Linked DNA regions of Lepisosteus oculatus. The protein of the gene in region 2 purifies or fractionates together with the protein of the main gene of each other region. This does not show direct contact. Links are inferred from orthologs where the notes say so. Each region holds a gene or a part of one and is shown on either strand. Other genes may lie near its edges. The genes, in order: exosc10, exosc5, hbs1l and zinc finger C3H1 domain-containing protein.

Region 1 (7,562 bases), on a different chromosome or scaffold from region 2:
TAAGTTGTGTGGCAGATTCCAAGCAATACAATATAAAGGTTACAAATAAGAGCATTACAATCAACTCCTCTTAGACTTAACTGGTTAGTTTTAGGCAAATGCCTTAAAGCAATACAAGACACGATAAAGTCCACTCCACGGTACACTTGTTTTATTTTACAATGGTATATATATCCAATAACCACTGGCTCTCTCACATGTCATCTAGATGCTGCTGTGTTCTCTGCTGGTGGATAAAATCTGCCAGTGCTGGAGGCACATCCAGATCTTCAGGCCTCTCCTTGCGGATTTTTTGGTCTGTAAAATCTTAAAAAGACAAACGAGTAAAAAGAATCAGACCTACAATGTCAAAGACTGATCATCATACCTGCATTGCCTCATACAAATTCCTTTTCCAGATGACATTTGCAAGGTCAAAGACGCTTGGGACCAACTTACACGTTGGAAGGGATTTCAGCGCGTTGGGTTTGACGAAGATCTTGGGGACGAAGGGTGTGTTAGAATTGTCGACCTTCTCCCGAAACTTCAGCTGAGGACGCTGAATGTTTTTTGCGTGCAGAAGGCGAAATGTCTCAGACTTGGCCGCCTTGCTGGAATCCCTGCTCTAGGAATCAAGAGACAAGGGACTTTTGCTGGATGCTATTAAACAGAGCAAGTTATGAAAAAACAAAGGTAAGCACGAGACATCCACTTTTCTAAAGCCAGACAGACTGTGAATTGGGAATTCCGAACCCTACAATGGCTTTCCAAAACGGAGATGGAAGGGGTCTACTGTGGGAAGCCAGGAGTATGGAATTTACAGATTGATAGAAGTTCCGATTTATCCAACACCTGAAGCCTGTGAATTGGCTTCGTGAGTTCATGGTTAGCCATGAGCGGTCTTACCTTGCGGTTCCAGCTAGATACGATGGTCTTTGGAGGCTGAATACCAGCTGGTAAGATGGGCTGCTGGTTCCTGTTCACTCCTGAAGCCTCATCCAGTAGTATTCCCTGCAAAAACAACAACAGATATAATTTAAAGCCAATCATGACAAGTTAGATATATCAAGGGTTTGAGAAGAATATGCATTAAAAGAATTATACATCAACTCAGAATCAGCTTTAAGCAGGGCTCCTCAAGATTTGCAATACAAGTTATAGTTTAGTAACCAAAATGCTGGTTTAACAAACCTGGTTGGTGAAGGGTGCCAATTTGTTTTTGTGTGCTTTATACTGCTCTTGAACGGCTTTTTTACCAATTCAGCCTTTATTGTCTCATTTTACAGCACACTCCCAACAAAACACAATGACGGACAAAATCTTAGCAACCAAAAAGTCAGTGCAACAGTGTTACAGCTTTTAAAACTATCTCTGCCCTTCGAGCTGCTTTGATTAATCTGATAGTTGCTTTTTATCCAAAACGATTACTGTTTTTGTAAACGGTTCTCAGTTTTAAAGTTTGGACTCTCGTTCAAAGGAGTGAGACCCATGACCTTTTGGGCAGACCAGAGCCCTAAGCCTTCTACCATTCTGGACCTGGTTTTACATTGAAAAGGCTGTCCAGGAAAAAGATTATACTGTACCACTCTCTCCAGTATGACATCATTGGAGTCAACCAGCAAGTCGAATCTCTCCTCCAGGCCAGTCACTTTGTTGCGATCTCTCATGTGAGATTTGCAGCCATGGTACTGCATCAGTTGACTCATACTGCAAATACATCCATTACATCGTCACAAGCAATCTTAAAGACACTAGAAACACTTCAGAGATTTACAATGTCTCTGTATATTTTCATGTATGAATTCATGTACACAATTATATGCATGCATGCATAAGCTGATAATGCAAATAAAACTAATAACACAGAGAGAGCTTCAGACAAACTAGTAAAAATCTGACTGATCTAAACAGCACTTCACTACTACCAGATCAGCTACTGACGTAGCTAGAAAGAACTCCTAGGACTGTACACGCATGAAGTCGCTTTTACACAGGATCTAAACGATACAGTTATTAATTTCACCAGCATCCATTCAATGCTTTTTATGTTACATACTGAATCACATTTACTATAACTGCCTACCATTGCAAAAGTCTTTCTCCCTGCGTTTCGCAGAACTCCTGGAATCCGGGAAAGCTCCGGTAGAAGTCGAATTCGTCCCCAGCCTGCGGCAGATTTGCAGAAGCTTTCGTGGCCGCTACTACAGTTCCCAAGCCGTGCTGTAAAACAGATTCAAAGAGCCACTTGTCAAGAGCAGCCAGTCAAAAACCAATTGAAACTAAACAACCGAAACACGATACAGATGCGTATGCTCGTACAATTTAAGGTTTATACTCCACAACGGCAGTGCTTCTTATCGAGCATATCACACTGTGGATTTTGCACACTTTTTTAATGGTACTTCTTAAAACGTCGGGAAAGGTAAAACCAGACATTTCCACGTTAACAGCAAAGCTCGTTGCATTTTTAGGGGGAACGCACGGAGATAAAAATCTGCACCTTGTGGTATAATACTTAAAAAACGGTAGCCATCACTCATAGAGCCTTATAAAGCGTGACTACTCTGCACCTTAATCACACCGTCTTTTTTTATTAATTACACCGTTTACAGCTGAGCTGGTAAACACGCCACTCGTGAACCCTTATTCACCCACAGGCCTTTATACGAGAATGACCGGGGGTATTCACCAATAATTCGTCCACAAACCTTCACAAATGAATCGGCATCCTTAAAGCCGGGCAAAAGTTCTGGTTTTTCGCCCTCTGCCTCTTCGTTTGTCGGAGAAATATTATTTCCCTTGCCTCTGCCACTCCTGCTCGTGGACGCTGCCATCTTGAAAATGTTAAAGTCACGCGAGACGTGGACTCCTCTTAGGGGAGGGGGAGGAACCGGGCGGCATGGCCGAAGAAAATAATAAATAATAAGACCAACAGTACCTAATCAAAGTATGATAACAATAATAATCCCTTGTATTTATATAAAACTTTCATTTCAAAGTGCTCCTCCGCCGCCACCACTCTAGAGCAGCACTCTTTTTGAGTAAAACGAGACAACGATTCGACACCAGCAGATTCGATACACAACAGACATCGCTATGAGGTTCAGAAATAGGTTTACCACATAAAGCCTACAATGCAACTTTATCAGGACAGTGGGGGTAATGTCCCTTCTCATTTATTTCGTGTTAGGTGATTTATTTAAATTACATATTGGATAAAGCTGCTTTTGCTTTCAAATCTACATTTGGCCAACCAATGCAAAAGTACAAGATTGAAGAAAAGTCAACCCAATAGTATTCATATGAAACGCATTTACTTTTTAAAGTTACAATTCAGTAATACATTTTTTTAACAAAGGAACACACAGAGTATGCAAATGTCTTTTTTTATCTACTATTTATTGCCAAAGAAAACTTACAGTACATTACAGCAGACTGATATTAATTCAAAAGTTTATGGTGAGTAAATTAAATTAAATTTAGTTTATATTTAACTCATTTTAACAGTACGCAAGTGGCATTTCACAACATTCCAAGTCCACAGCAGTAACCTCATTTGAGTTCAGTTTAGGTTTAAATTGCGTTCAGGGCTTTCAAAATGTGCCATTAACACTGCTATACGTCTCCATGTCTGGAACTGCGGAGTCTGTTTTGTGGTGATCGGCATGGCGCCAAGTGTTAGTGAACGGTGTAGAGAGAAAAAGATGTAGGAGCTCTGCTACCAAAATGGACACCTGTAGGAGGAGAAAAGGAAAAACAAGTCAGATGCCTCAGATTGCAGATTTCCTTTTGTTCAAGGGGAGATTTGATGTGTCAGCTTGCTTTTTCTGCAGAAATACAAATTCTTTCAGTACAAAAAAATCCCAATAAAACAAAACCTAACTCCTCGTCGGAATCCCAGTCTTAACCTTTTGTAGGCTTCACCTCTGTCTACAGAAGGGCAGAACTCCTAATCCCCAGACACAGTATTACACAACAATCCTTTAGTTTGCTTTGGTATATTTGGTATATTTACCACCCTGGCCGAACCCTTCTTGCCTACATCATCTATCGTTCTCCTACAGTGACAAGCTGTTGTCTGGACATATCTGAAGAACCACACCCCAATCTGTCAACTGGGGATTCATGTAGGCACCAATAGTGCTCACCATCCAATATAGCATTGGCACAGATTCTCGTGGGAGGTCGCTTGCTTGATTAGGAGCTCCACTTGAGTTGGGACGTCCAGAGTCTCATCGTGGGAGAAATCCCGACCTGAGAGGGGACAAGCAGGGAAGCATCAGAAGCCATCCTTCAGGACTCCAGGAACAGCGAGTAATTCATTTTAATCTATGTGTCATATCAAAGTGGGGATGAGGGCTAAGTACTTATTTAAAACCTTTAATATCAATTTCAATGCAACATCATTTTTTTTGTTTTTCAATGTGTGTCCACTTTATCATTAATTTTGGTCAAAGTTGTTGCTGCGAAACAGCTGTTCTAGAGTGCAAGAACAAAGCTGTACAGATGTAGACCATGGATGTCCCTCACATGAATAAACAGCTTCCAGGCTTTTATTCATGTGAGGTGGTGTCACCCTTCAGACTACATGACTGAACAAATATTTCCTAAAAATGAAAAAATCTCTGTGGATTTTCTGGGCTGTGCTTTTCTCATGTAATATTTTAAAGATAAGTTGTTTTATTCCCAGATGGGGAGTTCCTGTTTAAGAGATACACTCATATAGTACTTCACCCACATTGTTGGAAAACAAGTTTGTTCACCAATGTCTAAGCCTGATTGTTCCAAGCTTTGATGGCATTTTGACTGTGCTGTACTCACCGGTCAATTTGTCTCTGACTCTGTTGATGATTTGAATAGCTTTTTTGTTCAGGGCTTCAGGCTGCACTAGGCCATCTCCAACTGAAAGGGAGAAAACATTTTAGATTCAGTTCTCAAAAACATGTGTCCCCATTATCTTGCTGAATGTTTTGGAAAATGCATTGAAATGTTTGACAAAAGGAAGTTGGTTCAGCCAAATAAAGTAGGACATTTTCTGCATTCTATTAAGTTAAAGAATGCCAGTATTGTGTTCCTTCTCCTACCTTCTGTCACGCTGTTGACAAAAGGTCTTTCTTCATGTGCTATCAATGAACAATTCAATTTGTGGTGTTAGAAATGGAAATGTTTTTTTAAGACAGAAGACAGGCAAAGGCAAACTGAAACGTTCACTGTTGTTTTGGTTTTCTGATCCACGCATCTGTGGTAAGAATTGAAAAAGAGAAGCTTGTCTCTTCTTGGGAACAATCTTTTCTCAAGCTCTATGGTCTATGACCAGATAGCAGACACGCCGGTATTCCTGCGAGTCTGAACTCACTGAAGGAGTGAATGGATTCAGGCACTGTGGTTCCTGGCTTCTTGTGTGTCGTTTCACCAAGCTCAATTCCCTCCAGGGCTTCTGAAAATGAAAGAAAGCATAGAATATTTTTTTTTTCGGTATGAAGACGTTATTCTGACCGTTTCTGCACCCTACACCCCATTTGGATTCTCCCACTCTGGAATGCAGATCCTTCTTAGGGAAAGCTAGAAATAAGAGTTCAATCAACTGACCACCATGGCTCGTTTGACATGAAGTTTCTTCTTGTTCCAAAGATCTCATCCAACTGTTACTTGAAAGAAGTCAGGCTCCATAACCTGGCTGGGTAGCTTGCTTTACTCTTTGAGTAAAAACATTCCTCCTTGTTCTTAGTTTTTAAATGGTTTGATTGGGTCAGTGCCTTTGAAAACCTTGAACATTTCTATCAGATCCCCCCACGGTCTTTTCTGTTGCACATGAAAGAGATTCAGTTCCTTCAGACTGCCAGTGGAGGACAGTTCAGTCCCTCAAGTCCCAGAAGGTCTCTGGTTGCTCTTCTCTGGACAGATTCCAAAGCAACAATATCTATTCTATAACAATATTCTCAATGATACATTTTTACAGTTTTAACATAATATCCTTTGATTTAAATTTGACACTTTTAATTACATAGATTTGATCACCTAATGATTCATCGCCATAAACACCCATATCCAAGGAGCCCATGATATGGCCTTAAAAAAAGTTTGCTTTCCTTCAGTAGGCTTGCTACAGAGCAGAGGCACAAGCAAACCAATTTAATATTCTCCCTCTAGTCCTCAGAAGGCTGAGAGTGAGTGCAGAGCCATGTACTGATTGCCCACCATATTCACCAGGTAACATCCCAATTGAACACGTCCTGAGACCAACCTCTCTGCTACAGTGCCACCCCTCCCAGCCCTCGTGCTCACCTACGGACTGCCCCGCGGTGTAGGAGTCGGTCCTCGTCCTGGATCGCTTATTCCCTTTTGTGTTCGCTGTGGACAGAACCGAAGAGCTGTGAGCGAGTTCAAGGTGGTACTGGTGCAAGAGGTCATGCACAGGCTACTACCAGAAATGAGAAGTTCTCACACAGTTAAATTTAAGATGCAACTATGGCTAAAAGCATGTGTACTTTATGATAGGCAACACATAAAAGACACACAGAAGACTACAATTTCCTGAACGCTCCCATGATAAAGATTTAAAGAGGATGTTTTCTGTGGGTAGTCAGGCTGGCGGACCGGTTGGCCCCGGGGCCTGAGCTGCGGGTCCCTTACTGTCCATGAGCCTCCAGTTGAGCAGGGGGTCGTAGACGAAGGCCTCCAGCACGGCCATGACGCTGTCCCTGTGCTCCCGCAGCACCTCCATCACCGTGTGACACGTGATCCTGTAGTTCCCATCCAGGCCCGTCACCTGGACGGCAAACACGGAGCGGAACACCCTGAGACCCCAGAGCACGGGCTGGCCCGCATCCCTGGACTCACCAGTCCTGCTTCTAACAGCACCCTGGTTTTCTTATTGACCTCTCTGCATGGTGCCATCAACATCAGTGCACGCACAACACAGTTGTTACTGTGTAACATTCATTTATTTTGCACTATAAAGATTTTTTTAACCATTTCCCCCCCCCTAAATACACCCGCTCACCTCCATAGCATTAGTAAGCATCCTGGTCAGCCTGAAAGGAATTTTCTCCGGGAATTTCTCTCTGGTCATGGCGACCTGTCAACCACAGCAACACGTTAGCGTTAATATCTCCTTCACTCTGTTCCTTGCAGGAAAGAGCTCTTCTCTTCCCCAGCAGACACAACGCCTACACTGCCAACAGTGGGTCCTTCCCATATCATCTCTCCACCTCTTCCTATCACTTTGCGCTCTGCGGAGTAACGAAAATCATTCACAAACCCACCTCAAAACAGTCGCCAAAGTCGATGTGGAGGATCTTCCCACTCAGTCTGTCCAGCATCAGGTTGGAGGGATGCCTGGGGATTATGTTTAAGGGGATAGTAATGGCATCATGTCTTTGCTTTAATATGCCATTGCAACAGGAGTAACTCTAGCCTTGTATCTGTGCTGGTTCCACTGGGCGAAGTTCAGGCACGCGCTCGACTGAATGCAAAGCCATACTATGACTAACGAACCCAGCAGTAAGTCCAGGGCTGCATGCAGAAGTCATAAAACACGTACAGGCCGGACAAAAGAATAATGCAAAAAATTGACCATTTAA
Region 2 (7,438 bases):
TTATAATTAATACAAAAAGGCACAGAAAGGGAGAGAGGAGCAGAGGCGGAGTCACAGCATCTTGGAGTATCTCCTACTGACAGAGTCTCTGTAGAACTGGAAGATCTTCCCTGATGCCCGCTGACTGACTGCGATGCACTGCTGCAGCTGGAGAGGCAGAGGACACTGGGTTATTACAGAAAGGAGCTGCAGTGCACAAACACAAGACTGAGAGCTCCAGCAGCTTACCTCACTCACTGAGAAGGACCCTTTGGTCGATGACATCATCACTCTGCGCTCTGCACTGTCAATGGCAAATGTCATCACTGCGCGGCTCTCCTGTGATTTAGAGATGGGGAAAGAGAGACTGTCACATAAAAAAAATGGGTGGAAAGGAGGTTCAGACTAGGGGGGCAGTGTTGGTCAGTGTGTGGGGATCCCTAGGGGTCCAGTCAATACACCGTACGGACCAGTGTCTAGGGGCACTTGTTGAGTCAGTGAAGCAGTCAGTGTTGGAGGGGTCAGTGTATGTACAAGGTTGTACACACTGTGCACTGTACAGTACCCTCTCCTGTGCAGCAGTGGGGTCAGTGTGGATGTGGCCCTCAGGGTCAATGGCACAGGTCACCCCACAGAAAAGGCAGCGCATGGGCAGTCCCGCGTCCATCAAGGCCATACAAGCAGCATTCAAACTGCACGCCAACAGCTGGGGTCCTCACTAAGGAACAGGACTCAGAGAGACAGACTGGCCTTACTGCACACAGAGACAGACAGAGACACACAGACTGGCCTTACTGCACACAGAGACAGACAGAGACACACAGACTGGCCTTACTGCACACAGAGACAGACAGAGACACACAGACTGGCCTTACTGCACACAGAGACAGACAGAGACACACAGACTGGCCTTACTGCACACAGAGACAGACAGAGACACACAGACTGGTCTTCCTGCACACAGACACATTGTGAAGGATACTGCCCCATCATCATGGACGACCTGCAGGACGAGGGTGAGGGAGGAGCGCGGGTGGAGAGAGGAGAGGAGAGCCGCCTTGCACGTCTCTCGCACGCACTGCTCACGAGAGCGCTCGGCCACTCCTGCACACTCAGACCGGGAGAGAGGGAGAGACAGAGAGAGTCTTGACAACCTCTCGTTCACAAACTTTAAAACACCACCACCAGGCTTTTGCTTGAGCAACAAAGGACGACAATTTTCAAAGTGAGACAACAAAGCACTGAATCGTCAAAGCAGCTGTGAACCACACCCTGCACTGCTAGAGCTCTCATTACCTTCGAGACAGAAGGAGGGAGACGGGACAGAGATAAAAGAGAGAAAAACATGGAGAGAAACAAAAGAATAAAGTGGTGAGGTGGGTTAAAAGAAAAGAAGGGAGAAGGAGATGAGAAGGAGGAGGACACAGACAGCAGAGGGTTAATGCAGCCCATCAGGGTAGCGATCAGTGTTTGGTTATTATACATGAAGCTGCTGCCACACTGTGGCGAACAGTAGTATTGGACATCTAACACTTGCAAGGTGATATTGCAAACATCAAATGTTTCTTCTGGGGGTGTTCTCCACACTGTCAGGGTCAGTTTAGTCATGTGTTTATTACACAATGTTGAGCCTTTCATCCCAAAGTGCAACATATATAACTGCACATCAGTAGGAGAGAGAAACTACCTCACCAGCTGAATAAAGGGGAACTTTAAGTAGGGCAGACTGTTTCAGACCAGAGTGGAATTTGGTCAAACCTCTTGTGTTAACTAATCTACTGAGATGAACAGTACAAGGTATCTTTAACAATCAAGTATTCAGAACCTCAGTTTAAAATCTCACCAGACGGACAGAACCTCCTGTTGCACAGTGTCCCCTGTCAGCATGCTAGGACTTTTTTAATGAAACATTTAGTTTTGTATTGGAAATTAACTTGAAGAGGGAAGGGTTCCCCCTACTGGTCCGCAAGTGCTACATCCTGCAGAAGCCTTGTTTTCCCATCACTGTCCTGTCCAGTTCCAGATTTGCTTAGTTTCTAAGACCTGACAAGATAAGGTTGCAGACTGCAAGGTGGTACTGCTGGTGCGTATGGCCTGCAGACAAAGAGAGTATGGCTGAAGATAATAAAGAATACAGCGCACTGCTGGTCAGCGCTACACAACACTCTCCGCCTGTATACCCTGATGCAGTGTGGTGTGTGCAGAGCAGAGACAGGCGGTTAGCTCTCACCTGGCAGGCCCACTTTCGGCTGGATCAGAACCTCCATTGTAGCCCGATCATAAATCTCCTTACTGACCTTCACCTCCGCTGGCCCGTACACCCCAGCCAGGACACTGGTGTCTCCTGCAGACACACAGAGTGAGCGGTCAAGACAGCCGCACGTACAGACACACACACAGAGAGTGACCCGTCAAGACAGCGGCATGTGTACAGACACAGAGTGAGCGGTCAAGACAGCGGCACGGGCACAGAGTGAGCGGTCAAGACAGCGGCACGGGCACAGAGTGACCGGTCAAGACAGCGGCATGTGTACAGACACAGAGTGAGCGGTCAAGACAGCGGCACGGGCACAGAGTGAGCGGTCAAGACAGCGGCATGTGTACAGACACAGAGTGAGCGGTCAAGACAGCGGCACGGGCACAGAGTGACCGGTCAAGACAGCGGCACGGGCACAGAGTGAGCGGTCAAGACAGCGGCACGGGCACAGAGAGTGCATAACATAGGGCCCAAACGCACTATAGAGCTAGAAGAGGACCTTCCGAACTCATTCAGAACCAGATAAAAATGAAGCATGAGGGAAGAAACAACGAAACCTTGTTTGTGCCCAAGTGGACTCGCGTGAAGACAGCGCTTGCAATTAAATCCTTTTTTAAAAAAATGTAAAGCATGAACATACCCTGCACGAACGAGGCCGAACCATCCGGTCTTGACAGCAGGTTCTGTTCGCAGCCGAACTCCCTCAGAGCTGTGGTGGGGTGAGTCGAGCTCTCCTCCACTTCCATCGTGTGTACCAAGCAGTGCGGTGTTTCTGCGGCGCAGACCTAATACGTCACTAAATAGAGCCCTTCCAGAATCTTAAACAAAGGCGCTGGTAAATGACGTTCACCACTGTGCTGAATTTTGTGACCATTTAAACCTATAACGTCAAATTGACAGACACATTTTCTGTGAATACTGCTAGTGTTTTTGTACATTTTTTATGTTTTTGAACAATTCCTATGTAAAAACAACAGATCTGAAATTCAGTTAGATATTAGATATTTTTAATCACTTTATCATTTAAATCGTTAAACTTTTTTAAACACCATATTTGTTTCATTATTATTTTATAAGAGTCAAGATGCTTCTCAGAGGGATGTTCTACTGCAATTAGAAATAGTCAAAAACATTTTTATTGTATTAATGTTTTATTTAAGCATCAGGAATACAAAAATGAGACAAAATATTAATACAGATACAAAAATAGACACACTTCACAGCCAGAGGAATTCACAATTATAAAAGCTGAAAATTAAACTTTTTACATAATTCCATTGAATGTCTTGCCTTTTGATTTTTAACATTTCTAATAGAATTTAAATAAAAAAGGACTTCTACCTTGAAAGTATTAATAGAGGGAGCAGTATTAGACCATTTACTTTTTTTGGATGTATTTTGTATTTTGCCAAAATAATTAACCGATTAATAATAAAAACATATCCTTTATCCAAATCAGGTCTAATAAAATATAAAATAATATCAAAATCTAAATTTAACATTTAAAACAATCCAAAACAATGTTGTATATACTGTAAGCAATTAGCTTCGAACAGCTCCAACTGACCTGTGGCTCAGAACTTTATATCTGTTTTGAAGGATCATTTATAAATACTATACTGTATTGTATAAAGACCACAGTGCTTTAAAAAAATTCTAATTCATTTAAGCTATACTCAGATTCATTAAAAATATTTAAAAATATGCTTGGTGAGTTGGTTTACAGAAATCATTTACCATATAAACATATTATTTAATGTGACCCCTAACACCACGCAACCTCTGTACTGTTGATAACGTTTTAACTGATTTAGAAGGTAATGATTCACAGTAATGAGGACTCCCCTCCACCACCACCAGTGTGCAGCCCCACCTGGATGATGCACCAGAACGCACCAGCTTTGGTGGGGAGGAGAGCAGAGTGATTAAGTCAGTTCAGAGATGGGGATTATTAGGAGGCCGTGATTGGTAAAGGCCAGGGGGAAATTTGGCCAGGACGCCAGGGTAACAACCTAATGCCCTGGGATTTTTAATGACCACTGAGAGTCAGGATCTAAGTTTTACATGTCATCCGAAGGATGTCCCCTTTTTACAGTATCACCATACTGGGGCATTAGAACCCACACAGACTACGAAGACCCCCTGCTGGCCCCACTAACACCTCTTTCAGCAGCAACCTTAGCTTTCCCAGGAGGTCTCTCATCCAGGTACTGATCAGGCTCACACCTGCTGAGCTCCAGTGGGCTGCCAGTTGTGAGCTGCAGGGTGATAGGGCTGCTAGCCATGGAGTTGTTATTCTGTTCCATTCATTAGATGTTGCCTTTGTGCTGTCATGTTGTGACATCTGAATGTGCATACCCTTGTTTGTTGTAGTTTCTTTTTTTGTATTTAAATAAGAAATAAAAGAAAAACCCGCTTACAGAATCACGTGACGCACAGCGCCTAGTAATTGGGTCCATCCATGAAAGTCGTGATAGAAGGCTACAGCGATGCCTGAATACAAACAAAGCAGATAATCAACGACACGCCTTTTAGCGCTCTTTTATAAACATGATTTACTAATAAACTTATTTTTTACGCAATGAAAATAAATATATGTCTCCATCTTTCATATTTTGAGTTGTTTTGAGTTTTTTTGTTGCCACTCGTGTGTTTTCTGGGACCTTGACGATTGAGGTGCCTGGAGCTCCACAGGGCAGCTTGTCAGACCCAAGATCCAAGATGGCGGCGGCTGGAGGTCTCAGGAGTCTGTGCAGAATCGGATTCAAATCAATCTGTCACAACACCGGATTTTATCCCAAATTACGACATTGCCCGGGCAGGGCTTTCCGTGTTAATGTGAGTGACGATTCTCCCCCTTTCACGGCCAATCCCGTCGATAAACCGTGGAGAAGCCACGTTCACTGAAATTCAATACGGCTTTCAACTGCGGCTTTTGCAGTAATCAGACAGGTGTTTTAACATGTATAGATTAATAATAGAGCTACGTTTCATTGCTATTATTATTAGTTGTGAATATATACATTGCATTGTTGTTATTAATATGGTTGTTGTTGATATTGTTGTCTTGAAAATTGTGATGAGGTTATGATTACTACTATAATGACGGGATTGAAAAAAGTCTGCTTTTGTCATCTTTTACGCACAAGGCTACCTTTATAGTGCGATTGTGTTTATCTGAAATGTGTTTATCGTTGTACTGCTAAATGGATTCTACATCACAATCCACCGCTTTGACTAACTGCGTATATATACAAAAACACAGTTCGTGTACACACAGCAGTCTAATAAATGGAAAGCCTGTCTTGATATCGCTTTATCTGCAAAAGCGCTTGTGTTGTTCCGAGATTGTGAGTTGTTAGAATAACTTTGGGATCACCTCGAGTCTTTGGCTCGAGGCTGGGTGGTCTGGGCTGCTGATTGGTCAATTTAGGGGGCGGAGGCGTTTCGCCTGTAAAATAGGGTCACCTTAAATATGTGTTCGGTTGCCGAGGGAAGATGAGGTGTGCGTGAATCTCGGATTTTTCCCAAACCCCTGTCGTCATTATTATTTTAATAAAATAATAGTAACCGAACACTATAAGTTGGTCTCGTTGAATAATGTAGTGTCAGCGTGCAACTATGTAATTTGTTTGTTTTAACCCCTCTGTCTCTCAGTGCTGTCAGTGTGCAGGAGTGTGGATTGTGTGTGTTTTAACCCCTCTGTCTCTCTGTGTTGTCAGTGTGCAGGAGTGTGGATTGTGTGTGTTTTAACCCCTCTGTCTCTCTGTGCTGTCAGTGTGCAGGAGTGCGGACTGTTCATGTTTGAATTGCTCTGTGTCCATTATTAATGTCTGTTTCTTCCCTTCCAGGCGGTGTTGAGGCAGCAGACCTTCGATTCCCTGGATGAGAAGCCTCAGTTCCCCGGGGCGTCCGCGGATTTTGTGGATCACCTGGAGTTCATCCAGCCTAATGTCATCTCGGGCATCCCGGTGTACCGCGTGATGGACAGGCAGGGCCAAATCATCAACCCGGCCGAGGACCCCCAGGTGCCTGCTCACCCGCCTCTGTCCACACGAGTCCCACTCTTCTCTTCCTGTTCCCCTCTCCTGTCCTCTCTCACTCCTCCCTCATCGCTGCTTCTCATCTCACTCTCTCTGTGCCTCTCTGTGCCCCAACCCCTCCCTTCTGCCCCCCTACTGCCTCTCTCTGCCCCCCTACTGCCTCTCTCTTGCCTCTCTACTGCCTCCCTCCTGTCTCATTCTGCCTTTCTACGGCCCCCTACTGCCACTCTCTGCCTCTCTTCTGTCTCTCGCTGCCTCCCAACTGTCTCTCTCCGCCTCCCCACACTCTCCTTCCCCCTTTCTCTGTCTCTCAGCTCCACAGCTCTCATTTCCCTTTTCCTCTCCGTGGTCTTCTCTCCCTTCGTCCTGCTGCTGTCTGGCTGTGGTCGCTGAGCTCTTGGGGCCATGGTGAAAGGGCAGGCAGAGCTGCCCGCGCAGGTCCTCAGAGGAGCCTGAAAGTCTCCAGGAGGGCTCGGCGGGAGCGAGGCCTTAACGAGAGAGGATGAAGTAGCGGTGCAGGCTGATTGAAAATGGAGCTGTCTGAATTATTACGGAGCACGAAGAAGGGTGCCCTGATGCAGCAGGAGGCTGGCATGAGTACAGCTATCTGAATTAATGCCATCAGCTGAAGCAGTCTGCTCGGGGGCCTGACTGAGATTGGGAGGGTCTGTGTGATTGAAGAAGCATCAGTGGCCCTGGGGAGATTCGTCCTGAGTGAGGTCACACGGGGTCAGAAGGAGGCCAGGAGTCTGTCCGAATGCGCTGGTTGCCCAGGGCAACATTGGGATGCAAGCAGCTCCCAGCCACACCCCAGAGTTGTGGGATCAGGGGAGCGAGAGACAGCCTGTGCAGATTCAGCCTTCCCTGAGCTCAGTACGGACAGCAGCTCAGCACACTGCTGGGCTTTCTCACCTGTCTGATACAGCATGTCCCCATGCAGTGTGTTTCAGGATCAGGTGGTTTCCATCCTTTTCTGTGAAGTTAATTTCTCCTTCTCTTAACAACCTCGTTAGGAGAAAGTCAATTAGAAAGTCTTTTATTGCTGTACTTCTGCAGTCCTTGATGTGGTTGGGTGGGTGACGCATACACACTCCAAAACGTGCTCCACACGGTCCACAGCGTGATTAAGCATCCACACTGTAACCTGGACTGTGTGCCC
Region 3 (6,923 bases), on a different chromosome or scaffold from region 2:
TGAATGCCCCAAAACCAATTTTAAAGCATTAACAAATTTGACGAAGCATAACACAGTCACTTTATCAAAATGACACCAAAACATTCAGTCAAAATCCAAAATCTGCATACTTCAATTTTTTTATACATAATGATCATACATAGAATTATTATTTTCTTTTTTTCCCTTGCAACAAGAAGTAAAAGAAAAAGAAGAATAAGAATATAACAAAACTTTGTTAAAGTGGTGCCGAGATTCATCCTTCATAAGAAATGGAAGTAAATGCTCTATCAACAGTTCACAAAGTCTTAACTGTTATGAAGCCAATGACAGGCCTACATTATAGAAAAGCTTTATGATATGGAACTATTGTGATGTACTGTACTGTATATATTTGAGAAACTCTTGTTTGAGGATTGTACTAATTAATTTTAGCACAGTGTGGGTATTTCAGATTTTTCATTTTTTCTGCAATTTGCCAAGTAAACTATTCACCTTTTCAGGAAAATGAGTGGAGTTAGGAAATACCACATACTACCTTAAAAAAATAAATGCTTTAAAATAGTAGTATACCGCATACTACTGTATGGCTGTGTACAGAAGTATAAGAAAATAGTATGTATATATCTGTTATGAGCATCAACAATTTACTAAAAGCCTCCATTAGTCTGTTCTACTATTATAGTAGCTTTGTTATTAATACAGCTTAGTTTGAGAAGAAACTAGAGTTTCTCATTTTGAAATCTGAAATTCATATTGATTAGAATCTCCAAAAATGTGCTTGCTGTCCGTTTGAATTCTTGTAGTAGCACTTACCACTAATATCTCAAATATAAAAGTAATTGTCAAGTTTATCGTATTGTGAAAGCCATTAAGTGCAATGAACAACAACTGAAAATCTTTTATAACATCCTTAAGAAGAATCTTCCTATAATCTTCTTTTAGACAAAAAAATAAATACTTCTGAATATACATATGTGGGATTTTATTTGAAATGTATATTTTATGTGACAGAAATTCTAAAATTCTGGATTGAGATTAGGGTACAAACATTATGATTTTAAGCCTATTTCTATATCACACAGATTTAATAAGAAAATCCTTCCCTAGTTCAAATTTCCCTTCTAGTTTCGATGAAGAAATAATAATGTTTTATCTGTTTAAGAAGGCAACAAAGCAGAGCTTGGTTTCTGATTTTTCTTTCAATGACATTGAACAAAGGAAGAAAGTGAAAAAGGTACATCTGTAAATTTGCTTGCAGCATGCAGCACACCTGTCCACAAAAAGGTGTCTCATCTCCTGTGGATGCTGCTTATAAAAATGTTTATTTGAAAACAGTCAGGTCATTGCTCCACTGACATCGACATGCCCAGCTGTTATGTGAATGGACACTTAGACCTTAGCCTTTCTCAGTGCAAGCAAAAAGAACTATTTTCTCAAAACAATGTCTATATAAGCTGTGTCACATAATGTTGATGTTGCTGGCTCTTCAGCTTCACCAGTTCAGAGAGGGACTGTTCAAAATGTTTAGAAGAAACCAAAGAAGTAAGCATAGGCAAACTATTTAACACCTTTAAGTAATACTCATTTCTGCCTTACTGTATAGATTGAAACTGTAGGTTATTTTAGGAGGAAATGTAATTTTTCACTCATGACAATTTCTTTCCTCCTGCAACTTTTGTGTCTGTAAAACCTACTGTACTTTATGGTATATCAATCTAAGCTGACTGTCCAGCTGGTGCCAACTGTAGTTTAAAACATCGGGTAGGCTGTGCAAGTCATCAAAACCTACCGGTATTGTTTTCCAAAGCTTTGGTAAGTAGAAAATGAGGTCTGTCATTTGTATCAGGGGTGCACTGTAACTAAAACATTTTACTCAATTTGGACTTAGATTAAACCATAATAAACATATTTTGGCAGTTACCTGAAAGGAAGGTCTCCTGCTACATGTTGACTGTTCACTGAAATTAAATAATTTAACTACTGTATGTCATGCAATTTATCAGATGTCTGGAATGTGTGCTAAAATTTTTGTCATGCCATGTTCTTCATATTGACGATCTTCTGTGCTACAAGGGTGTAAAGCTTTGAATGAACAATATTTTAGTTTCACTTTGAGAACCATCCATTACCTGAAAGCTGCTTATCCCGATGAGAGGACAGGAGACTGGAGACTGGAGTCTATCCCAGAAGCTGTTTCACAAGACAACAAAGCAGAGCTTTGAGGGAGGGATCCAGGTAGGATCCAGGTAGGACCAAGAGCACATGAGTTGCCTTCCGCTGGACGGGACCTGAGTCCATTGCAGAATCATGGAGAAAGCGGAAATTTAGCACAGCCAATAATACCTAGGCAGCACTTCTTTAGAAGTTGGGAGCAAACCAGAGCACCTGGAGAGAACTCATTTCAAAATCTGGAGACACAGTCACACCTTAGGCCAGACTAGGGCTATGAGACATCAATGTTACCTGCCATGACAATGTACAAAATATCTCTTTAAAATAACGGGTATGTAATCAGTATAATGGTTTTGAGCCGCTTAAATTATAACTAATGGAATGGAATACTAATGGTAGCTTACTTTACCAGTGTTAACCCATCATACATACTGGGCTCATTTCACACCGAAATGATTTTTACTGGCCTAAGCCAAAGATGGATATTATACCAGTTTACTTACTGTAAGTAATTCAAGTAAAACCAGAACGTGAGAGAAGAGGCTATCACAGAGAAAGAACTGCATTATCAAACTCCTTACAGGGTCTGTGACCCTGGTCCCTGACAGCCACAGTCTCTTTTGGTTTTAACTCACAGCAGAGTTCTTACTGACTTATTTGGATTGAGCCTTCTCTTAACCACTAGAAGTTGTTATTGTTCCAGATCTCCCCTTGTCAGCTACTTCAATTCACTTCTAAACCTTTTGAGACTACGGATGACTAGGACCTGCATCCTGAATGGTTCTCACTTCCATGTTTCCCAAGTTATGTTTGGTCTGTTAGTACTGTATGTAAAACAGCTTAGTCTCCGGTGTTTTGAAGTGCTTTTTAATATTTTTCATTACACCTTTGAAACAATAAAAATTACAGTCTAACTTTCCAAAGATTGTCGAAGAGAACCAAACTGGATTTAGCTGTTTGAAAGAAATTTAGCTGTGCTGAATATAGTCACAAACTCTGGATTGTGTGTTTATGCTCCCTTTCAAACAAAGGGTTAAGAAGAGCTGAGTCAGACAATACAAAACACACTCAACCTGTGCCCGAGTAACCTGCAGGAAACCCCAAATATGCGTCTCTTCTACATTTTCAAAAGGATGTTTTTCCCTACGACAAGTGATTGATCAGCTTGTGCAGCTTGCTGTTGTCATAACCTTGTAAAAATGTTAACAGCAGGTGAAACAGTTATTAACCTTCATGAACTGTTCAGGCCATAACAACGCGTTTAGCACATTTTAAAAGGGCAGATTGTACCTGCATCGTTGTCCTCTTTTGTTATGACTTAAAAGTCTCAGCCACAGATTGTTTGGTTTCATAAATTACACAACATGACACCCCCTTGCCTCCTCCCCCACTAACATATGTCATGAGAAAGTAAAAGTAAGAACAAAATAGAAAGAGCCCTATTGCATCTTTGGAAAATTAACAAGTTTCTTAAAATGCTAACATGCTTGTCTTTTCCAGTTTAAGTATTTTCTTTTTCTTTTTGGAGTACAGTGGATCAATAGTTTGGAATATTTCAGTTTATGATCGCAGCAGTATTGAATTCAGAATTCCACTTTCATTGTGTTACAGACCCAAATATTTACTAAAGATTGACTGTAACATGTCAATTTAGGTGAGCAGGTGTAGGACTATTGCTTGAAATAACTAACTTAATTTCACTTCGGCGCGTCTCAATGGTTAACTCGGCACAGGCAGAAAAACGGAGCTGGAGCAGAGAGCTGCAGTGCGCTTGCTTGGAGAATGCGCAGTGAGACGTCGGTGGAAACAAACATGGCGGCTGGAAAATGAAACGAAGCAGCTACGGTTACATTGCTGATTTATCACCAACAGTGCGGTTTTATCTTTAACCACCTATAAAGGGGCGAAGGGAAAGAATCCAAAATGTCTCGACACAGAAATGTCCGGGGCTATAACTACGACGAAGGTAGACGCTCTTCCAAGTTGACTGTAAGATTGTGATATTCCCTTGTCAGGAAAATGGAAGTGCTGTCGTGTCCCTTCCACAGGCTGGGCACAGGCCAACGCTTTAGTCAGAAAGTTTTATAACATACGAGCTAGCGGATACATAAAAATAGCTGTAGTTATTCTATAAAAGCGCTTTTGTGTACGAATTTGCGAATGGAATGAAACTGAATCTTTCCTTTAAAAAGCAAAACAAGATGTACTTCATGTGGTTTTACATTTCCCCCATTCATCCTGGCCTCCTCCTCGTTTCAAATTAGCAGTACTGATAGTTTAGGACACCCCTGTACGTTAGTCATTATTGAACATTATAGAACTTCTGTAGCTTTATGTAAATAGTTTTGGTGTTTAGGTGCTTTTAGTAGTTAACACAATTTGTGTCATAAGACTTAACTGTTCATTGCAAATACCTACCAGTGTGCAACGACAGATAATACATAGTGTACCATGCTTAGATATTTTCACAGCTACAGTTTTGTATACACAGATTTTGAAGATGATGATCTATATGGGCAGTCCGTGGACGATGACTACTGCATTTCCCCTGCTACAGGTTTGTGGGATGCGTTTCTTATGTGTCTGAACTTGAATTCTAAAGTTTTCTGAATCAAGATTTTGCCGATTTGATTAGATGGTTTTCTAGTGGTCTAAGCACTGTATTTGTTGAACATGGACCTCATTGAAGATGTGGACGTTTATGCAACTTGGTTATTTTCAATTTGAAAGCTAATCAAAGGATTCGATATAAAACCTAAATTAAGTGGATGAAAAATCTGCATATTTTGTTTTGTAATGTTTTGAACATTGGCTTTTATCTTGTGTAGTATGAACTACACATGATGGATGCGCATGGATAAGTGTGAAACTATTTCTGATTAGTATAGTTTTAACATAATCACACTGTTTGTGGTAAGACTTGGTGATGTTTCACACATTTAGGGTTTTTATTACTTTTCTTTTTTTAATTCTTTCTTGGCAGTAAATATGGATTGTTAAAAGTTGGATATTCTGCATTTTTATGATTCTACACATGATATTGTATTAAAACATGCAATTGTCTTCTTTGCATACTTATTTAACTTTAACAAGAAACTACAGTTTTGAATAAAGTCATATTTTGGTGTGGCAGGTTTATCAGTATTAAACTAAAGACAAATGAACAGAAGCATTCTGGGATGATGTGTCATCTGAGCTAGTAGATGAGTATGCAATGTCTATATCTTTTATTGGTCAAAGCCATTTGTAATATCTTGCATCTCTCTAGTTACTCAACCAATTTATTAAAATTCGTGTTTGCCTGGTAGGATTATCCATTCACAATGGAATAATGTGGCAGTGGGTTTGCAAGTGGTCTGGTATTTGACCTCTTTTGGCATCAGTTGTAGCTGAACACAATTAAAAAACAGTTTACTAAAACGTGTGACGTCTGTGTTAAAGCTATCTGTCCACAGTAAGTTTTTACTTTCAGATGCTTAGTGTTATTTGTAAATAAACGTTTTGGATCTTTCAGCCAGGTTTTAAATCATTTTTGGACAACTAGTGTGATTTGTCCAGAGTATCCTTGAGAGTAAATACATTCAACAAAGTAAATCAATTTAGTGAATTTTGGGAGAAATGAAGAGGCAATTTATGGAAAAGGGACAGATGATTTGCATGTGTAAGGATGCTAAGTAACCTATTGAATTGTGGCGACTCATGTATGTTGATGTTCACTGTCTTAATGTTTTGAATTTTTTTGTTGCCAGTATAGTTACAAAACGATCCCCTACCATGGAATGAGGCAGCTTGACTTCTTGTGTCACAGTTTTCTGCAGATGAAATGATGGCGCATGCGTAAGGCGGGAAATTCTGGATGATAGATTTTGTGCGTCTCCCCCCTTAATATCCCAGTGTGCTTGTTTTGCAGCTGCCCAGTTCATCTACTCCCGACATGAGAAGCAGGCAGCCTATGCAGAGCCCCTGGAGGAGGAGTATGGGGCCGAAGAGGAAATGCCTGTCTCTCCCAGTCCGAACCATCACAAACTTGACACTCTTTCTCAAGGTATAACACAAAGCTCAAGTGATTTTAACAGATGTGACATTAATTTGATGACGCTATCAGTTTGCAAGTCATATAACATTTTCTTGATGTTAATGAAAGGCGATCAGCACAGTTCCCTCACACACTTCTTGTTTCCAGGGCAGCTGTACTCCTGTCTAGATCAGATGCGAACAGTGCTTGGCGATTCCATCCCTGATCCTGTGTTGGTAGAAGCTGCACTCAGCTGCCAGTTTGACCCACAGAAGGCTCTGGACTTAGTGCTTTCTGGGGAAAGCAAGAACACACCAGCAAGAAATCAGCAAGACAATGTGTCTGCTGTGAAAACTGACAGAGGTATGTTTGTATTGTCTTAATTCGTTCTGTTGTTTATTCAGCAAGCAAAATACATTTCTTTGCGCGTGCGTCACACCTTAGATTTTCTCATGACTTCGAAACCCTCAGTCGTGCAGTTGGTGTGTGCAATTCTGAATAAGCGGACAGCAAAAAGTTTTTTCTACTATCTGAGGCTTTCACTAAATTGCATTTCAGAACACTGTTGCTTCAGTGTTTCCAACAAAGTCAGGAATAACTAAATATTTACACAGAGGTATTGTAGTTAAAACCCTGTTTAAATATTGATAGTAATTAGGAACTGTTTATTCACTGAATAATATTCCCTCATTATTACCTGTAATGACTTGAGAATTAATTTGAGAACATGAGAAGTTCATTTTCTCAAATGGTT
Region 4 (7,374 bases), on a different chromosome or scaffold from region 2:
GCCAGCAGTACTAACAGCCACACTGCCATTTACTACATAATGCGAGTAAATCTTAGAACGTTTCTCCACTGGTGCAGTAATTAATTCAGTCATTTACTGAGTCCTATTGGAAATGTTTTTGAATTAATTAATACAAGGTGTAATCTGAAAAAACCTGTCTTCAAATCAATCTTGGCGATGATTTCATCACATCATGAAGAACAATGCAGGAAAATCTTGTCCAAGACACTCAAATGCTGTATGATTAATACAGCTTTGTGGTGTACGCAAAACATCTGTGGGAGAAATGCCTGCTAAGACTAAACCGAGTCGGACATCGTTGTGAATGTCATTCTGTGTTACTTACAGTATAAGGCAGGTCATCTGATTCTTTGCTGCTTTGATAAGAATTGTTTAAATCCAATTCCTCCTCATCTTCCTTATCTTTAAGAAAGAGAAACAAGCTTAACACTTCTCCCATTGGACTTGGTCAAAGTAAAAACAAATGACTAATCCGCACACTTTCAAGGCAGACATTACAAGTTCAAGACAGAGGCAATCCACAAATTAAACGGAATTGTAGCAAAAGACTGACTTATTAGGGTAATTATTAACATCTGTAAGGATGAAAAGGCATTACAAAGAGAACCATTAGAGTAATGTAGTAGAAATAAAAAAGGAAATGAGAAAAGTGGCATATCACACACACATCTCTAGTAAGTGGGAAAAGCCCTATGGTGTTTATATTTTAGCGAGGTCAAATAAAATGGTGAATGTGATGTACAATTATGTTAAGGTGGAATTTTCTTTACCTTTTATTGTGTCACTGGGCTCAAGGGGGCTTATTTCAGCGTTCTCTGACTTTTCTGCTTCCTTCGTGTTTTTCTTGTTCATCTCATCTCTTTCCATAGGGGTCAGAAGCTTCTGCCTTAAAGGTTTCAGGTTAAAAGCCTGAAAAACTTTGATTTCGGGCTTCTCCGGAGGTGGAGACTCTTTTATAGCAGCTTCCTTCTGAATACTGACCGTGCCTGAAACAGCCTGATCAACACTGGGGGCTCCTTCTACCTCTTTCTGAGGCGAAGGATCTTTGGAGCTCAGCGCCATCCTCTCCTCCTTCCTAATACATTCCAGCTCATGTTGAATTTGCTTATATTTCAAAAGCAAATCCTCAAAGCTTTCTTCAATACCATTTTCGGTTTTGGCAGTGTTATGAATGGGTTTCCTCACCTGAGGTCTCCCAAACAATTTTGCTGAGTAAAGAAGTGAAGGAAGATAAATATCTGTAAAACCGAATCAAAAACATGCTAGGTTTGCATTATATAACAGTTTTACATAGCAAATGTATTACTAACTAACCATTTGTATTATTTAAAATTGAGTGAGCACAAGTGGAAACAACATGCATTTAAAACTTGTTTTACAGTTATGGGAACATGGAACAAGCTACCCTGGCATGTTATTGAAGCCGATAACCTTGGTTTAGAGAAAACAATGGGATGAAATTAATCAATTAATAACTACCAGCTTGATGGGCCAAATGACATCTTTGTTCTTATAAGTGGACAGTTAATCCACAAGAAGAAAAGGTGTTCACAAATAATAGTCTTTGCTTAAAGGTGTCAACTGTTAGTGTTTTGATTATGAACCATTCATCTGTGATTGCTTTACTTTTCTTTACAGAAAGATGAAAGAACGTCTGTTGAACACATGAGCAGTGAGGAATTGGACCAATTTGCTCCAGGAAAATGCCCAGCTACGTGCATGGGTACAAACGTAATGTGCTTTTCAAAAAAACCTCAACCAAATATTCTTCCTCGCACTAGTTTGGGTTTGTGTGTCCGCTATCCTATACCGTACAACTCAAGGGGGTTGCGTTATTCCTGAAGTCGTCTGACTGTGCCAACAGCGGAAGTCAACTGTACAAACGAAAGAGGATTCTGCGCCTGTTAGGTGCTGACGTCGACCTCCGGTCTCGACGATTGTTCTTGAGCTGTCTGTTTAAAGCCTTGTAGCAGAGCTAACATATACCGTATGTATAATAAGAACAAAAGATACATTTTTGCAAATGTGGTCGGGGTAACGCCTAGAAACACGACCGGGACACAGCTCTTATTCGTCTTAGGAAAAGGAATATTTATAGCCACAGTTACCCAAAATGGTCACATTAACATTTCGAGTGTGGGCAGCGAATCTACAGAAGCCGGTCATCGCTTCAACATGTGCGATACGAATTGTAACACGCTGTACGATTCACTGTCCAGGAAAGTATAAAAATCAACGGGTTTTGAAGTCGGACTCGTACAGTGGCAACGAAGGACGGGCAAGGATACGCTTTCTTGGAGGGGACTCCTTCCTGATAGGTGCCCCGGCGAATCCAAGTCGACATGGGGGCGGCCTTCCAGTCCCTCTGCCCCCAACCCCCTCACCCCAACCCCCTCTGCCCCAGTCTCCGCGGCCATCGTTTGGCCTCCGGTACCTCAGCCTGCCCAGCGCGGTGTGGCTGCGCTCCCAGAAAGACGATCTGGGACCCGAGTCGCAATGCTGGGCTGACAGCGATCGGTCGGGGACGCCTGCTCCACTTTGCTGCCTGTGGCCAGTTAAGTTGGGGGGATGAGGATGGGGTCCCCGGTTGAACGGCATTTTCATTCGGAAGTCGAGGCCGGGTCCCCCCATGGGAGGCGGCGGTAATGTCCGCGGTCCGGGTTTGGGCTTCCGAGCGAAACGCCCTGCGCTGCTGTTACAGCTGCTGCTAGGCCTCTTGTCACGGCGCACGAATTGCCTTTCATCGGTGTCATCGTCGCTGATCTCCCCGTCCTCCAGCTCGCCTTCTTCCCTCGGAGACCGAACGCTCGAGCTCAGTTCCATCGCTATTCCCTACTGATGTAACTGCTCTGGAAGGCAGGAATGCTCCTGGGCCAGGTTGTGAAATCAGCAATTACAGACGTGCAATTCCCCAGCAGTCCCTATCTTCTTTCCTGGTCCGAGATCCGGCCTCACGTCGCTCTCTTCTATCGCGAGACTCGCAAGGAAAACCGAGTGTGCGCAAATGTCGTAGGAGAAGCTGCGTCTGCCAGCGTGTTAGACGTTTGCATGTTGATAGGCTGTGTGTTTCCAGCATGCAATGACAGACGCAGAAAGTTGCGATTTACTTGTGGCATGTAACCTTACTTTGGTATTTTTGGTTTTTCGTGTTCCTCAATAAAAGTGCTGAACTGATGCCTTAAATTCGTTCGTGTACACGAAGCAATTGTAAATTCCCGAACGTCATGTGTAGCATTGATGCAATGTTAACTGTTTTCCGTGATTACATTTTAACCTTATGGATTCTTGTTTCCATAAATCTTGCATGTTAAATTTTCCCGGGTATAGGAGAAGCTGCTCATTTAACCACATGAAGTAAAATATTTGAGCATTCCTAAATAACCTGAAAGACCTGACTTGAATGAGTTGAGAGCTCATTTACTGTCCCAAAAATTTACCCTGAAGAATATAACGGGACACTGCGAAAGTCGACATTTTTAGTAAAATATACAGTGCAAATCCGCGCAGCGACGTTTGACCGTATTGTTCAAAGTTATTTACACTTAATGAATCTTAGAGGTGTAGATGCTTTTATTTTTCCAATTATTTACTTCTTTGCGTGTCGTTTACTAACGATGAAATTAGTAAACATGTAATTATTTAAATCATTTAGAGATTTCCAAGAATTTTAAAAAAGAATTACATTATAACACAAAATACTATGGCAGAAAAATAATATTAGAATGGAAATGTTATATATTTAATTCAGTTCCATTCCAGTGTGGGTGGTTGCTATAGTTTCATAGTTCTTAGGTCCTTGGTTCAATTCTGGATGGGGTGAATTCTGCGTGGAATGTGCATTTTATCTTTGGGTCAGCATGGATTTACTTTAGGTGCTCTGTAACTATCACATGAATTGCCCCCTTTGTGGGGCATAATACAAAAGTATTAAGAAAAATATCCTCCAGATCTTTAGATAAATTCACACTAAAAACAGTTTATGAGACAGGTATTTTGAAAATTATTAACATGAAGCATGTTCTTTAAAAACGCCATCATAGATGGGCTTGGGGGAAATGTATCATGTTCCTGAACATTATACGTTACAGTACCTTCCGAATGTATTCAGACCCATCCTATGGTGTCCTTTTTCTAAAATCGCAAAACAATACACATTTTTTTTAAACCTAATATGTCATTTAAGACCTGAAGCCTCAGACTGAATATCTCTAAGGGTAGGATACAACACAATAAATGTCAGCAAACACTAAAGAGAAAAGAAAACTGAAATATGTTGACTGCATAAGTATTCGGACCTGTGAACTCAGTATCTGTTGGAAGCACCGTTGGCAACAAATACAGTTTCATGTTTAATCAGTTTGATCTGTGGCTAAGGATCTGCGCCTGTGGCTGGAAGGTTGCTGGTTCAAATCCCACAGCTGGTGGGGAAATCCTACTCCATTGGGCCCCTGAGCAAGGCCCTTAACCCCAACTGCTCCAGGGTTGCTGTACAATGGCTGACCCTGTGCTCTGAGCCCAAACTTCTCTCTTCCTGTCTGCCTCTCATGGAAAGCAAGCTGGGGTATGTGAAAAGATGAATTCCTAATGCAAGAAATTGTATAGGGCTAATAACGTGATGTTGTTGTTATAGATAGATAGATAATACTTTATTAATCCCGTAGGGAAATTGATGTGTTACAGCAGTCCAGCCCAAGACAAGCAAAACAGACATCAGAATAGTTATAAAACAAAAGACAAACAAGATAAATAAAAATAAATAAATACATAGGTGTGTGCAAAATGTGCTGATCATAGTCATTGTAAAAACAATAAAATATGTGCAAAATGTGCATAGGTTTATACAGACTGATTGTCCAAAAAGTACAATGGAGTAAACATGCTGTCCATAGAGGAGCAAATGAAGGGCTAACAGTCCTAGCCTAGGGCAGCGTTATACACCCTGACAGCCGCCAGGAGGAAAGACCTGCGGAAATGTTCCCTTGAACACCGTAGCTGGAGCAGTCTATTGCTAAATGTACTCCCCTGCCCAGTAACAGTCCTATGAAGCGGATGAGAGGTGTTCATGATGGCTATGAGCTTGGTCAGCATTCTCCTCTCAGCCACCACCTCCATGTTATGTTATGTCACCTCATGTTATGTTATGTCATTTTGAGTAAGTCTGTGTACAGTACCTTTGTGTACCTTTGTACACCAGCTTCATGGAATTTATGCCCACTCTTCTTGGCAGATTTGCTAAAGGTCTCTCAGCTTTCTTGGGTATTGCTTCTGTACAGACGTTTTCAAGTCTTTCCAAAGATTCTAAATAATTCTAAACCACTAAATGTTGCCTGCACATTGCCTTTCTATGTTCCCAATACTCTTGTCAAGCTTACTAGTCCCAGTTTATGAGAAGCAGTCACCATTACTTTCACTGGTAATAATGCTTTGAAAGCCTTGAGCAAGGCTGCTTGTTGTCAAAACTGTTATCTTGCTTCTGCTTTTTTCAAGAAATGGATATATGAGATTCTCCAACAATGTATTTGGTAGAATAAAAAATATACTGTAAATAGGCTGTCTGTCCTCTTATTTTTCAATCTTTTTTATGTTCTGTGAAACCCAGCAAGAGCAATATAGGGAATTTAATGATGATGGATTTGAAAGAATGAATTTGAATTTACAGTGCCATGCAAGAGTATTCAGACACTTGCATAGTTTTGACATTTTGCTGCTTTGTGGCTTACAGTCATTTGTTATATATACCTCTACACATCAGTCACAAAAAGAAAGAAGTCAATAATTAATATGAAAGACAAATGGAAAAGTTGTGACTGCATAACTATTCAAAACCATTGTTTGTACATTGTTTGTCATTTGTACATTGTTCGGTGCAAATGAATACCTTAATGTTCCAGCTAGGTGACTTAGAAGTGTCTCTTAGATTTTAGATAACGTTTGTGACACTGAGAAGAGAAAATACTTCTAATTATAAAGCAAAGAGGATGTTTGCTGATGTCTGGGGGAGGTCCCTTGGGCAGAAACAATGGTAAAGTTTACCTTAGTATACCTAGGGAAGTTATAAGAATAATAAACTTTATTTTATATAGCACCTTTAAAGGTGGCTTCTCAAAGCACTTTACAGAATGTCAACAACAATAAATGAAAAAAATACAATAAAGAAAACAATTACAATATACAGAAGAGACTGAGGATGGTAGTACTAAGAAAAGCAGAAGAATGGAACAGTTAAGTAAAGGCTTTTCTAAAGAAGAAGGTTTTAAGTCTGGATTATAATGAGTTTAGAGAAGGTGACTCTCGGATATCCTTAGGCAGAGAGTTCCAGAGCTTGGGCCCTGTCACCCATACAATGTAGACGGGCTTGGGGGACAGAAAGGAGACCAGAATTTGAAGAGCGAAAGTTGCGAGGTGGGGAGTAGGGCGATAATAGTTCAGACAATTATTGAGGTGCCAAGCCATGCAGAGCCTTATAAGTGAGCATGAGGATTTTAAAGTCAACACAGAATTTGACCGGAAGCCAGTGCAAGGACTCCCAGGACAGGAGTAATGTGAACACTTGCACTAGACCTGGTCAGGATTCTGGCTGCTGAATTTTGGACATACTGCAGTTTGTTCAAAGTAGATTTAGATACCCCAGTGAGTAGAGCATTACAGCAGAGAGAACACAAATGTGTTGATCAGCTTTTCAGCCACAATTAGTGACAGCATAGGGCCTAGTTGAGTGATATTTCTGAGGTGAAAAAAAGATGTTTTGACAATATGCCACAGATGTGGGTCGAATGTTAATCCAGATTAGAATATCACTCCAAGGTTTTTCAATTTAGACTAAGTATTTGAACCTTATTAGAGTGTGCTATTCTGTGTTTTTAGGGAACTTGAGTTTCCTGGGTAAAAGATACCTCAGTTAAAAACGTCTTTCCTGATTAGTGTGCATTTTATGGATAGGGATAAAGGCTCCCATTTATTTTGTGGCATGCAGGGTGCAAAGAGAGAGATGTAACTGCAGGTTACTTTGTATTTAGTTAGAAGGCAGCTCATTTCTTGTGTGGCGTCTGTAGGCATATTAAGAGTTAAGTGCTTAGTAGCAGTCTGGGGTTTTCTGGGTGACCAGAATGTTAGCCCTCTGAAACGCCTTGTCTGTAAATACTGTACATAATGTAACTTTGTGTGTTGTATGTTTTGTGCTGTGTAGTTTATGTGTTTTGTCATTGTAATAAATATTTGTTTATGTCAAAAATGTCAAAACTATGCAAGTGTCTGAATACTCTTGCATGGCACTGTAAATTCAAATTCATTCTTTCAAATCCATCATCATTAAATTCCCTATATTGCTCTTGCTGGGTTTCACAGAACATAAAA

What was found.
Region 1: the proteins of exosc5 (region 2) and exosc10 purify together in Homo sapiens (co-immunoprecipitation; 8 studies listed by BioGRID and IntAct, with this or other methods). This does not show direct contact. The link is inferred for Lepisosteus oculatus from reciprocal best matches to the Homo sapiens genes EXOSC5 and EXOSC10.
Region 3: the proteins of exosc5 (region 2) and hbs1l purify together in Homo sapiens (affinity purification with mass spectrometry; 3 studies listed by BioGRID and IntAct, with this or other methods). This does not show direct contact. The link is inferred for Lepisosteus oculatus from reciprocal best matches to the Homo sapiens genes EXOSC5 and HBS1L.
Region 4: the proteins of exosc5 (region 2) and zinc finger C3H1 domain-containing protein purify together in Homo sapiens (affinity purification with mass spectrometry; 3 studies listed by BioGRID and IntAct, with this or other methods). This does not show direct contact. The link is inferred for Lepisosteus oculatus from reciprocal best matches to the Homo sapiens genes EXOSC5 and ZFC3H1.

The regions. Positions count from the first base shown.
Region 1 is NC_090720.1:2,766,151-2,773,712, forward strand, and holds the start of exosc10 (exosome complex component 10), read right to left. Parts: upstream 3,011-7,562; 5' UTR 2,814-3,010; coding exon 2,688-2,813; intron 2,200-2,687; coding exon 2,063-2,199; intron 1,687-2,062; coding exon 1,563-1,686; intron 991-1,562; coding exon 886-990; intron 605-885; coding exon 439-604; intron 307-438; coding exon 198-306; intron 1-197. Other genes in the region: serine/threonine-protein kinase mTOR, read right to left, coding at 3,698-3,713, 4,128-4,233, 4,801-4,881, 5,336-5,416, 6,265-6,330, 6,613-6,748, 6,983-7,057, 7,245-7,317. UniProt on the Homo sapiens protein: Catalytic component of the RNA exosome complex which has 3'->5' exoribonuclease activity and participates in a multitude of cellular RNA processing and degradation events.
Region 2 is NC_090698.1:6,249,022-6,256,459, forward strand, and holds the start of exosc5 (exosome complex component RRP46), read right to left. Parts: upstream 3,017-7,438; 5' UTR 2,983-3,016; coding exon 2,877-2,982; intron 2,324-2,876; coding exon 2,210-2,323; intron 1,084-2,209; coding exon 962-1,083; intron 686-961; coding exon 545-685; intron 319-544; coding exon 229-318; intron 148-228; coding exon 52-147; 3' UTR 1-51. Other genes in the region: bckdha (2-oxoisovalerate dehydrogenase subunit alpha, mitochondrial), read left to right, coding at 4,958-5,074, 6,088-6,264. UniProt on the Homo sapiens protein: Non-catalytic component of the RNA exosome complex which has 3'->5' exoribonuclease activity and participates in a multitude of cellular RNA processing and degradation events.
Region 3 is NC_090697.1:50,019,634-50,026,556, reverse strand, and holds the start of hbs1l (HBS1-like protein), read left to right. Parts: upstream 1-3,909; 5' UTR 3,910-4,077; coding exon 4,078-4,120; intron 4,121-4,645; coding exon 4,646-4,711; intron 4,712-6,064; coding exon 6,065-6,199; intron 6,200-6,337; coding exon 6,338-6,532; intron 6,533-6,923. UniProt on the Homo sapiens protein: GTPase component of the Pelota-HBS1L complex, a complex that recognizes stalled ribosomes and triggers the No-Go Decay (NGD) pathway.
Region 4 is NC_090702.1:22,679,747-22,687,120, reverse strand, and holds the start of zinc finger C3H1 domain-containing protein, read right to left. Parts: upstream 3,012-7,374; 5' UTR 2,845-3,011; coding exon 2,310-2,844; intron 1,230-2,309; coding exon 792-1,229; intron 424-791; coding exon 347-423; intron 1-346. UniProt on the Homo sapiens protein: Subunit of the trimeric poly(A) tail exosome targeting (PAXT) complex, a complex that directs a subset of long and polyadenylated poly(A) RNAs for exosomal degradation. The RNA exosome is fundamental for the degradation of RNA in eukaryotic nuclei.